Drosophila melanogaster: one gene and its partner. Changing the gene in region 1 together with any one later gene gives a genetic interaction. Each region holds a gene or a part of one and is shown on either strand. Other genes may lie near its edges.

What was found. Genes that interact genetically often act in the same process or in processes that back each other up.
Region 2: of chp (region 1) and prom, changing one suppresses a phenotype caused by changing the other (phenotypic suppression), as found in Drosophila melanogaster (one study listed by BioGRID).

Annotation. Positions count from the first base shown.
Region 1 is NT_033777.3:31,204,708-31,212,643, reverse strand, and holds the start of chp (chaoptin), read left to right. Parts: upstream 1-1,913; 5' UTR 1,914-2,380; coding exon 2,381-2,383; intron 2,384-2,924; coding exon 2,925-3,161; intron 3,162-3,287; coding exon 3,288-4,001; intron 4,002-4,099; coding exon 4,100-4,275; intron 4,276-4,574; coding exon 4,575-4,709; intron 4,710-4,794; coding exon 4,795-5,023; intron 5,024-5,082; coding exon 5,083-5,692; intron 5,693-5,746; coding exon 5,747-5,877; intron 5,878-5,932; coding exon 5,933-6,189; intron 6,190-6,246; coding exon 6,247-6,388; intron 6,389-6,447; coding exon 6,448-6,806; intron 6,807-6,864; coding exon 6,865-7,288; intron 7,289-7,351; coding exon 7,352-7,593; intron 7,594-7,653; coding exon 7,654-7,840; intron 7,841-7,905; coding exon 7,906-7,936. Other genes in the region: zwilch, read left to right, coding at 1-461, 519-1,014, 1,076-1,330, 1,392-1,459. UniProt on the Drosophila melanogaster protein: Required for photoreceptor cell morphogenesis. Mediates homophilic cellular adhesion.
Region 2 is NT_033778.4:24,425,356-24,430,068, reverse strand, and holds the start of prom (prominin), read left to right. Parts: upstream 1-1,681; 5' UTR 1,682-2,159; intron 2,160-4,067; 5' UTR 4,068-4,095; coding exon 4,096-4,384; intron 4,385-4,713. Other genes in the region: CG15873 (uncharacterized protein), read left to right, coding at 1-57, 111-464.

The DNA.
Region 1 (7,936 bases):
GGACCTCTAGTGCTGCACTTCCGCTCCTGGTGAACCTGAACGACTGCGATGTGGCTTTGAATCACACTTTTCGCGTGGGCGACTGCGGTCCTTTGACGCAGGACTTTATGAATCAGCTGCGCATTCTGGTCTACATACGCGAGGACATCGTCTCCTACCACACGGATGTCAAGCAGGGCGTCTCTCGGGATCCCACCTATCGTTGTGGCAGTGGCATTGACATGGACGAGCTGCGCGAGTCCATTAATCAGACAATGACAGATGTCTCTGGCCTTATAGGTCGGTATAGCATCAGCAATGCGGAGTTTGACATCGAAGATGTGGTGCAGAGGGCCAAGGTTCGCCAGCTCACGGATCTAACCGATAAGCTTTGGGAGCTGCTCAAGTGCTGCCACTCCTACAAGGATCTCAAAATTGCCTTTAGTATGCTCTTCCAATGTGCTGCACGGTGTAACATAGTAGTAAGTATGCTAATGCATGCAAACCACCACATATTATTCATGTTCCTCACCCCATAGAACACGCCTACTAACAAAAATCGACTTGCCAAGATTATCACCGAGTTGGCCAACCGTCGTCTGGCCATGCCTTGTTTAAGTGGGGCCGAGCCTCTGGAACTGCTTTTGGAAATTGGCCTGGAGAAGTTGTACAAGGACTACGAGTTTATCTACACCGAGAGCAAGATGTGCAGCACCAATCTGTTGAAGGATGACTCCAGCGGAGCGTCGATGGACGATGGTTCTCCCCAGAATCTGCCCCAGCTTCGAAAATCCCTGCACAATGCGGTCAGGGGTGATCCGACCCCTGGAGCTGGAATGCGAAAGACGCTGCTGCATCATCACGGCGCTGTCAATTCGCGGAGTACAAAATATGCCGGTAGCGACGATGATGCTGGGTTCAAAAACAGCCATTTCGACGAGCACGAGAGTACGGAGAGAATCTCAAAGTTGTTTCAGATTCACTGCACCTTAGAGCATCTCCTGATGATGCACATCCACTTAAATCTGGCAAATGGTAAGAAGGACAAAAAGCAGATCCTGGGATTTTTAGCTATAACTCCGTTTTTGACCTACAGTTTACAACGATGTCTGTTCTGAATTGCTGAAGAAACCGCCTAAATTAGTAGAATCCATCGATGATCAGCTAAGTGATGTTATGGACATTCGCCTGTCTGCCCACTATGTGAGGGATCACTTGGATGGCAAGGATCCCTACTCCCGGCACATTACCATGCGTTCGCACAACAAGTTCCGCGAACTAAAGACCACCTTCTATTTCAATTCGGAAAACATTTGTCCGCCGAACTTGGCTCAGTGTTTCCAGTGTGATGGTAAGTTTGCTTTTTGACTTGTTTATTTTCTATAGCTATGGTAATATATTTGACTTCGCAGACAAGGAGATGGTCAAGGAGCGCACATATCATTCCTGGATATATCACAAGATTCGCTCACTTAAGTAAGGCTTGCTTAGTAATACAAAATTGTACATTCTTTAAATTTAAGCATGGCTAAGAATGGTTTAAAATGGCCTTTTTCACATTGTAATAATTTATTTAATGGATATCTAGCAAGAATGTCCCTTAGCTGCATAATGTTTTGAGACACATTTAAAATGTTGAATTTTTTCAAACACTGCTTGTTGTATTATTAAATTAAATGCCTTTTGGTTATAACTTTTCAAACTTTTTTTCTATCGAACCTTTTTGTTCGGAATTTTAATTGTTTGAGCTTGTTGAACACGCTCTTCGACGCGTTTTCGCAAACCTCCAAAAAAGTCAGCAGTGCACACCGAAATCATGTTAAACGAACTCGTACAAGTTTTAAGCCGACCCAGAGGCTATTGCAGCTGCATTGGGAATCTTGAAAACCTGGCCGAAATCCGCTTCCGCCCTGCTCGCACTTTTATCACAGTGTTTTTGCCGGCCATATTCTATACAAAGGTCAGCATGACCAGCATTTGGCCATTCCTCCAGTGAAGTAATGCTGCAAATGAGGCGAAAAGAGTGTGTGCCCAATGGTGACGGCGCCATCGAGCATTCCCGATATGTTACAATCCAATTAGCCGGATGCGCCAGTTGGCCAACTAGAGTACTTGGCCCGTCGCTGATTGATTTGCAGTTTGTCAGACGTGCGTGGAACGCGCAGCGGTTCGGTCGTGTTTTTTCCAGCCCTGTTTTTCCCCTGAAAAGCGAACGGAATTTCAAGCAAGGATTTCCACGCGAGTGTCCTGGCCAGGGAATATAGCCACTGGGAGCTGGAAATCAAATCAAATTTTTTGGACAGTTGACTAAAGAGTGAAGAGTGAACAGTGCCCGTGAAATCTTAATTAAGTTTGTTTAAATCGCCAAGTGTCGCGAGTGTCTAATTTAATTTACAGCAAAATGGTGTGTATTGGCCAACAAAATGGCCTGATATCCTGCTAAACTAAATCTAAATTGCTATTGAACTACAAAAGAGGACATTTGATAATCTATGCGAGTAGCCCTTGAAGTGCCTAAGTCTTGCGACTTAAAAAAAACCATGGACGGATTCAAATCCTGTGAAATGAAGACACCCCTTTGGTCTAGTCACCCCTGAACTTATCCTCGGAAACTTTTCCAGACACAACAGCTAATCCTTTTGCGAAGTCGTAGTGAAACTGCTAACAGGCTTGAGAAGCCATATTAAAAGTAAAAAGTTAAACGTCCTGCTGACGTTTTCATAATCTATTTAGCTGAGAAAAAACTGATCCTTTGCAATGCGGGCTAGAATTCAATTAAAGGATATTATTTAATGGATACTATTTTAAGATGATAAACCTATATCGTTCTATAGATATCTATGGATACTATAAAGCTGGTTGGAAAACTTTCTCTTGTGACTAAGTGCTAGTCTTCCTATAATTAGTCATCCCAGTACCCAGTACATTATCCATTCTATCCCTAGGGCCTCGAATTTTTCTTTAAGTTCGGCTATGCCTTCCTGACTATAACGCTCATGATCATGATCTGGATGTCGCTGGCTCGCGCCTCCATGTTCGATCGCGAGATGGAGGAGACGCATTACCCGCCCTGCACCTACAACGTGATGTGCACCTGCTCCAAGTCCTCCACGGATCTGGGGATAGTGCACTGCAAGAATGTTCCGTTTCCGGCACTGCCGCGCATGGTGAACCAGTCAAAGGTGAGTCGTAAGATTAGCTATCTCCATAAATCAACACTTTTAGTTCTGGTCATACCCATTTAATTACCCATAACCACCACCACATTAATTTATTAACTCCGATAACTGGAATGTATTCTGGTTTAGGTTTTCATGCTGCACATGGAGAACACAGGTCTGCGGGAGATTGAGCCCTACTTCCTGCAGTCCACGGGCATGTACCGCCTAAAGATCTCTGGGAACCATCTCACCGAGATCCCAGATGATGCCTTCACCGGCCTGGAGCGATCGCTGTGGGAGCTGATTCTGCCGCAGAACGACCTGGTGGAGATCCCGTCCAAGTCCCTGAGGCACCTGCAGAAGCTGCGTCATCTGGACCTGGGCTACAACCACATAACGCACATTCAGCACGACTCGTTCCGCGGCCTGGAGGACTCGCTGCAGACGCTGATCCTGCGCGAGAACTGCATATCGCAGCTGATGTCGCACAGCTTCTCCGGGCTCCTCATTCTTGAGACCCTCGACCTGAGTGGGAACAACCTGTTCGAGATCGATCCGAATGTGTTCGTCGATGGAATGCCGAGGCTGACCCGTCTGTTGCTCACGGACAATATCCTCTCGGAGATTCCGTACGACGCCCTGGGTCCGCTAAAGAGCCTTCGCACCCTAGATATCTCCCACAATGTGATCTGGTCGCTCAGTGGCAACGAAACCTACGAGATCAAGGCCAGCACCAAGCTGAATCTGGACAATCTACACCTGGAGTACAATCACATCGAGGTCCTGCCTCCCAATTCATTCAAGTACTTCGATACCGTCAACCGCACCTTCTTCGATGGCAATCCCATTCACACTCTGAGGGTAGGTTAACTAACCCTTGTGAAACTTAACTGGACGAAAATCCCTCCCAGAAATTTGATTTATAAATAACATATTTGGAACTTACGGTTCGCTTTCAGGAAGATGCATTTAAGCCCGCTCGAATCAGGGAGATCTACATGCGCTACTGCGGCCTGACCAACATTTCGCCTGTGGCCTTTGACAGCCTGGTGAACAGCCTCCAGATCCTGGATTTGTCTGGCAACAATCTCACCAAGCTGCATCATAAGCTCTTCAACAATTTCGATGTCTTGAGGTGAGTCGAGCACCTGCACTCCGATTCACTCACGTTCTGCCCCCATTCCATTTGCACATGTGCATATTGGGGGGAACTAATCGGATTGCCGGCAGCCTCTAAGGCTTCTCAAGTTCCTAAGTTCGTGTGTGCGACAAGTGGGTGACCCTATTTAAAAGAATTCGAGGAAGAGGGAAAAGCCGCGCAATCAGGCAATCTTGCAAAAATACGCGGCACTGAGAAAAAGCTTGATTTGCATAGCTATTATTGAATTTTATAATGGTAAATTATAATTCTATACATTTATTTCTTAATAATAGGGTCATCAGCATGCGGGACAATAAGATCAAGATCCAGAAGCCCACGGAGACCTTCAATGCGGTGCACTACACCCTCCTGAAATTGGACCTGAGTGGAGACCGCAACGACCCCACCAATCTGCAGACCCTGCGCAAGTAAGTGAACCCAGTGCACCGAGAAACATCCTGCTCCCCACACACCCTTCACCCCAGAACCACTCTTGTATTTATTTACAAAAAGTATGACCAGAATGCGGAACATGAGATCACTGTCGATCTCGCGCCTGGGATCCTCCTCCGTGGGACCCGAGGACTTCAAGGACTTCGGCGTGGAGCTGGAGGATCTGCAGATCACCAGGGCCAGTCTCTCCGGGATTCAATCGCACGCCTTCAAGCACGTTAGGGGTCTGAAAAGGCTGGACTTTAGCGAGAACGGAATATCAAGCATAGAGAACGATGCCTTCCATGAGGTTATTCAGGATTTTCTTAATATAATTGGGCTCACTTAATAAAAAAATCTATTTTTTAGATTGGTCACTCGCTCATCTCTCTGAAGATGTCGCACGGCTATTCTGGCAGTGCCCTGCCAGCTGAACCCCTAAGGCATCTGACCTCCCTCCAAGAGCTGGACTTTAGCAACAATCACATCAGCAGCATGAGCGACACCAGTTTCCATTTCCTGAAGAACTTGCGGCTCCTAGAGCTTCATGACAACAGGATCGAGCAGGTTTTAAAGGGCACCTTCCAGGGCGACATTCACTCAAAGCTGGAGGAGATCTCGCTTCGCTTCAACCACCTGACCTCCATATCCCAGCATACCTTCTTCGATCTGGAAGCCTTGAGGAAACTGCATCTGGATGACAATAAGATTGACAAGATCGAGCGAAGAGCCTTTATGAACCTGGATGAGCTGGAGTATCTAAGCTTGAGGGGCAACAAGATAAACAACCTGGCCGACGAGTCCTTCCAGAACCTACCGAAACTGGAGATCCTGGACATGGCCTTCAATCAGCTACCCAACTTCAACTTTGACTACTTCGACCAAGTGGGTACCCTTTCGAATCTTAATGTGAACGTGAGCCACAATCAAATCAGGCAGTTGATGTACAATTCCTCGTGGAGTGGACGAAATGAACATGGTAGGGTCTTCTTTACTAGCAAATCTCCAGTTTGTTAATAGCTTCACTATACAGGTGGCATGTACCACTCGAATATTAAGATATTGGATCTTTCCCACAACAATATATCTATTATCCATCCTGGATACTTCCGGCCTGCTGAAATTTCGCTGACACACCTACATCTGGGCTACAATTCGCTGATGGTAAAACAAATTGTATGACTTTGTTACCAGCCTTTTATACCCTTTGACCCTTTAGAACACGACTCGTGATGTCTTCGGCAACATGCCCCACTTGCAATGGCTGGACCTCAGCTACAACTGGATCCACGAACTGGACTTTGATGCCTTCAAGAACACCAAACAGCTCCAGCTGGTCTTCTTTGGCCACAATTACCTCAGTGACATTCCCCAGGATATATTCAAACCTGTCCAAGGCCTGCGCATCGTTGACTTCTCGCATAATCACCTGAGGGGCCTGCCCGACAATCTCTTCTACAACGGAGGCATGGAAAAGTGAGTAAATAACTATATAGTCAATGTATGGACATAATGTATTCGTGACTCTTAAAGATTGGATGTGTCGCACAACATGATGTTGAAGATCCCCTCCTCATCGCTGTCCAGTTTGGCTGCGCTGACGCTTTGTGAACTGCACCTGTCCAACAACTTTATCTCTACCATTCACAGCATGGATTTGTCCAACAAGTTTAGAGTAAGTGAATTGGTAAAACCGTTTAAAATTATAAGACACAATCTTAATTGTGACTATAGTCCCTGCGCTACCTGGACATCTCATACAACTATCTGCTGCGAATTGATGATGCAGTGTTCGCCACCATGCCAAAACTGGCCGTTCTGGACCTCTCCCACAATCGGGATCTGAAGGTGATGGATAAGTCGTTTATGGGCTTGGAGAACTCGCTGATCAAACTGGGCCTGGAGAACATTTCTCTGAGCACGGTGCCCGAGATTCGACTGAAGTATCTGCGGGAGTTCCGCCTGGGTTACAATGAGCTGCCCTCGATTCCGCAGGAACTAGCCCACAATATGAGTAATCTGCGCATGCTTGATCTCTCCAACAACGACTTGACCAATGTGCCACTGATGACCCAAGCTCTGCCCCACTTGAGGTGCGTTAATCCAACTTGGTAAATGGTCTATCTAATCAGTATTTGCAATTTACAACAGACGTCTGATGCTTTCTGGCAATCCCATAACCTCGCTGAACAACAACAGTTTTGATGGCGTGAACGAGGATCTTGAGATGCTGGATATATCGAATTTCCGGCTGCACTACTTCGAGTATGGCTGTTTGGACTCGTTGCCTCACTTGCGATCGCTTAAGCTCACTGCCTATTCCCACCTGGAGCACTTTAATATTCCACATCTGTTGCGCCACCATTACAATATCCGCCAGTTGTGGATCGAGGCCCCACAGCCCTTCACTCGCATTGTTAAGAAGGGATCTGGACCCACCCAGGAGATGCAGACCCTTCAGCTGGGCAATCCCACCGACTTGCAGCGCGAAATGGAGGGCCATCTGCCCTCCAAGCTGACCAACATCACCTTCAGTGGTCCCCAGTTCACCAACCTGAATGAACGCATTCTAAGAGTGAGTAATTCTTCCAACTCGATGTCTATATAAGCTAAAAATTATATATTTAATTTGATCCAGGGCATGCGTTCTCCATACCTCTACATGCAATTATTCAATACCTCGCTGCAAGCCTTGCCTCCGAACTTTTTTAAGTACATGGGCCGAGTTCGGAACATTTCGCTGGACATTCGCTACCACAACAGGAACCTGAAGAAGATTCCCAATCCAAACACTGGAGCTGTTCCCTATCTGCCGAATAGTGTGTTCCTCACGGACTTGAAGATGTCTCACACCGATCTCAACTGCGATTGCGACCTAGGGTAACGCCTGGTTTTCTTATTGTACGATATTGAATTGCAAATTATAATTTGTTTGTATAGGTGGGTGGAGTTTTGGCAGCGCAAGAGGCGCCAGTACATCTGCTCCTCCCAAACCTGGACCGATACCGTCTTCCGCACCTTCATGAACTCACCTTGCCAAGTGTACGGACGTCACAACTGCGACGAACACGACGATGACCTGAGGGAGACGCGCTGTGAGAACAAAGGAGGGCAACAGCTGATGGAGGTGGGTATCCGATGGAATATTGCCAAGGCATATGTCGCTAATCGCTAATCGCTATCCCTCGATAGGCCCTCAAATTCGATCTGGAGTGCGGGTGGG
Region 2 (4,713 bases), on another chromosome or scaffold:
GCTAACGTGACCTATGGCGATACATGTATCACACTTGGCTGGGGGCAGATATACCAGGTGAGCCAACCCATGTCTGTTTCAGCGCCATGGAGTAATGCCACTCTCCCCAGCACGGCCCATATTCGAATGAACTGGTCTACCTGGACGTGATTTTGAGGCCGCCCTCGCTCTGTCAGAAGCACTACGACACCTTCACCGCGGACCACAATGTGTGCACGGAACCCGTGGGAGAAAGCATGAACTGCGCCGGGGACATGGGCGGACCCCTGCTGTGCAAGGGGGCTCTGTTCGGGCTCATTGGCGGACACATGGGATGCGCGGGCGGCAAGGCCATGAAGTTCCTCAGCTTTCTGTACTACAAGGACTGGATTCTTCTCACCATCCAATCCCTTTCCGACTGCGGGGTCAGAGTATCCTTAAGTCGTGTTTTTCTTACTCCCTTGCTACTGATTCTCGTAAATTGATATACAAAATAAAGCGAAGAAAATTGCAGAAGAATGTGCGGCATCACATTGAGTTCAGATATCAACGAAAATTAAATGTATTACTACATGGTCATAGATACACCTCTATTAAAGGTTTTCCCTTGCCTAGTTACCTTTGATGGTAATACATTTGGCGGTCGCACCAAAAGGAACCGCAGTTGCCTTTCTGCTCGAGTCATTTGTGACCAAATGTGACATTGATACACCGAACAAAGGACGACAAATGCACACAAAGAACCCGAGGGACAGGAAGTTGGCGTGGTGATATCGTAACCACCAAACTAGATGCACCTTTGCGGATGTTTCCGGTTAGGAGCCGAGCTGGGGCCATCGTGGCTGACTTTAAGTTTGAAATCCTCTCCGGACTGGCGTGCGAATCTGACGCAAAATGCATAAATCATAGGCAAATTGAATTTTAGCCATGAAATGCACTTCTGCCGCGGATGCGCCCAGGCAATGTCGTTGTCGTTTTCGTTTTCGTTGTCGTTGTCACGGGCGCCTCCCGCTGCGAGCACTGACAATATGTTGGGGAAAATGCAGGAGAAATGACGACCCTCCTCGAATTCCCGTCATCGTGGTGCTTAACTTTAGCCCGCTCCGCTTTCGGCTTTCAGCGATGGCAAAACTTTGTCTGGCTTGGCGTTGATGCAAGTTTAAAGCAAAGTCTACTTAATGCAAAGCTCAAGGCGCCTGCCGCCAACACAAACAAAACTGCGAAATTGGTCGTTAGTTCTTATGAGATATATTTGTCATTTCCACGAAAACTAAAGAGCTTTTAGCCAGGCTGTGCAGCATAACCTGGCATCTAGAGGGGGCTTAAATCTCTGAGCATCTTTCCAGGCCCGCAAATATTCTATAACACTGTTCACTTGATATCTGCAAATATGCATATTACATATGTGCGCTTGCCTCATCATAAGCTATCTGACTAAATCAAGCTAATGCTGAAGAATGACTTTCTTACACCCGGTATAAAAAATTATTTTTTCCGGAGTTGGGGGAATCCGGCTGTAGTTTTCCCGCCTCAGCAGCACGTGCTTTTCCCCCGGGCAAAGAAAATGGGCAACCAACTGTCTATATTCACCATGCGCCTCTTTTGCATTTTCACTCGCTGCTCGCTTAATGTAAATGGCAAAACAGGTAAAAATTTCTAAGTTTTCTTTGCCGATTATTGGGACCTAAAACCTTTTCACCGTTCAGTCATCGGACGACGCTGGTCGAGCTGTGTGGTAGAATTACGGTGGAAGCCGAGTCAGGACATTCCTTATTCATACTAATTATGTGAAAATGAATAATTAATTGGGTGATAATTGTCGGCTTGATTGCATGCAATGTAAACACCGAAAAATAGTCGCAAAATCGCAAACGGTCAATAAACGTGAGCCGTATCCCCGTATTCCAATTCGCTCAATTACGAACCGATTTCAACTCAATTCCGAGTTTCGGTAACGAAACGTTCAAACAAACGAATCGAATCGAAACGAATCGAATCAACATATCAAACTAATTGCAATCGAATTTAAATAACGTTCAATTAAAAGCATGGTTCGCAAAGTCAAACCCATAATCACGCCATATTTGCCTGTGTTAAGTGTGTGAAAGTGTTTAGCGAGGAGGGAAAGAGAGAAAGGGCTCCGATTCAACATCAATCAATTAATTGGGATCCCGAACGAGGTGCGTAAGTTCGTTTGCCGTGCAATTCGTTAATTAATCGAATGCGGTGCATTAGCACAAACTGGGGCGTTAAGTCTGACTCATTATGTTTAATCCGAACTAACTGCTGACTTTGTTGATGTGGGTCTTAAATGTTGGCAATGTTATACACGAGGTAACACACAAAACTCCATTCTGGTAGGTATTTTGGTATTTCAACAATAATTTGGGCGCCAGTAAGTATGCAACACTCAATTGCTTACTGCATCTTTGAAAGTTGCGCCTAAAAGAATGCACTCAACTTTGGAATTCGATGAAATTTGCTTTGTACTAGCTAAGTACCACTTCACCCATGAGCTGCCGCACAACCATTATCGAACTTCTTTTATTATCCACCGTACCGTTAGTAACGTGAATAACTCCACTCTAAGCCGTTCTGAAAGCCTTTTACTCGGCGTGACCCAATGCATTGAACTCTGCCACCTCGATCCATAATACTCCTCCTGTTATCATTGAACGGCTTTCACTAATATCTTTCTAACAAGGAGAGAAATGGCTACAATAATAGGGAGATAATAGCCGACAACAAGTCCGCACATTGCGTATCGAGTTGCCTTCGAAGAGCTTGGCCAGCCCATTCGAGCGCCTTGACTCGTGTCCACTTGGCTAACATAATCGCACATGCGGTCACATACAGAGCATACAGATGGAGATGGCACATACATACGAACATACGCACATACACACACACGTATGCGAACGGGGTGGGGACGCAATGCATCGGCGTATCGAGTTTTAATGACCCACTTTCTAGCTCAAGACTGTTTAGGTTCGGCCAGCCATCTGTATTGGTTTGGTCTAATTCGGAAAGTCCCCTGGCAGAGCAATTAGTATGGCCATTGGCCAGCATGAATGGGCGATAAAGGCGGCAAACGGCGAACGTGGTATTGTCAAGGAAAACAAATGAGTTGGGCTTGCAACGGCCACTTGAGGGGCTTCTGCCGGGGTGTCCGTACTTGTCCAGGCCCGAAAGAGATGTCTGCTCCCAGAACCGAAAAATAGAAAAGAGAAAACAGTGAAAGAGTGATTTTACAGTCTCTGAAAGTCATTACCCATTGATGTGTGCACTGCAGGAGGTGAAAGAGAGACCCTTTGGCTAGCTAGTTTGCTCGATTTTTAGCTCGATTGTGTGTTGACAGCATTGGAAAGGGCAAAGACAGCACAAGATTGCAACAAAGCGAGAACTGAAATGAAAATTAATAGAATTAAGAGGTGAAGAATTCAATTCACGGCGACATTCAGGGACGCCACTTAAATGGAACAGAACCTTGGCGGGAATTCAGTTCCCGCCCACGCTGCGTATGCTTAATAAAGCAAACCAAGCTGCTTTGTAAAGTAATCAATATCAATATTTAAATGATATTTTATTGTACTTTTGTTTATTAGTATGTGACATATATCTTATCCTGATAGTGAAACATTGCAGAATGTGTAACATACGCGGCGTATACGTAATTTGATGAAGATTACATACAGACCGCTCCTAGTGGGGTTAGGTCACTTCGTATTTAATAAACAAAATTTAGGTACCACAGAAACAATTTGTGTGGGAAATATGTGAGAATTCCCCACGAAGCTGCAATATTCATTAATTTGGCGAATGTCACATAATCTTCGTGAGTTACTAGGGGCCCAGCTAGTTACTTGGGTGTTTTTGGAACCCGAAGCGTAGGAACATACATATGAATGCATAATTGGAACATAAAATTCCGGGAATATTTTACAGCATTCTCCGGGGCACCATGTGAGTGTTTGGTTTTTGTTTGGCCCGATACGGCTCAGCTCCATTCTGCCCCTCCGCCTCTCCGCGCTCCCGCGCTCTACCCGACTATTCATGGCCATGCCTGTTCCGCATTAATTCATTCGCAGGGCGGAGAACCAAGCCATCCGGCCGAAGATGGACCAGCGCAATCTAACACTGCCAACGCCAGCCGCAACAACAATTATGTCCTCGTCATCAGCAGCGATGTCGGCGGGCTTCGCATCCCTTGGAGGACCCACCACGTCCGCCCTGACCGGATCCACAATAGCATTAGCCACAACAACAACAACGGCGCCGCCAACAACGACGCCAGCCACATTTTTTACCTACAGCATACCAGGCATGGACATTGCGCCAGGACCATTTATATTCACCTACGTTAGTGAATTTTTATCGCTTATCACGCCCGAGGAATTGCCGCTGGGTAAGTCCCTCCATGTCCGCCCCTCGCAGAGGGCGTGGTCCTGCATCCTTGTGCCCGTGTAGGATCGAATGATATCGGGGAAAGGGTTTCCAGGTGTGTGGGCTGGTATTCAGAACGTCTGCTTGCCAACAATGAAGGCATTAGAGATGTAAATTCAGGAGAGCCTTTGATAGGTGGGCAAGTTATTCAACCCAGATGGAAGACCTCATATAAATTGTGCACAGGGAAAAACTTGTGTCCGCATAAATTATGTCGATTCGTATTCGGATTTTCTTTAAATGTTTTATTAGTGGTGTCCTTATGATAGCTATTACATTCGCCCAAAACTA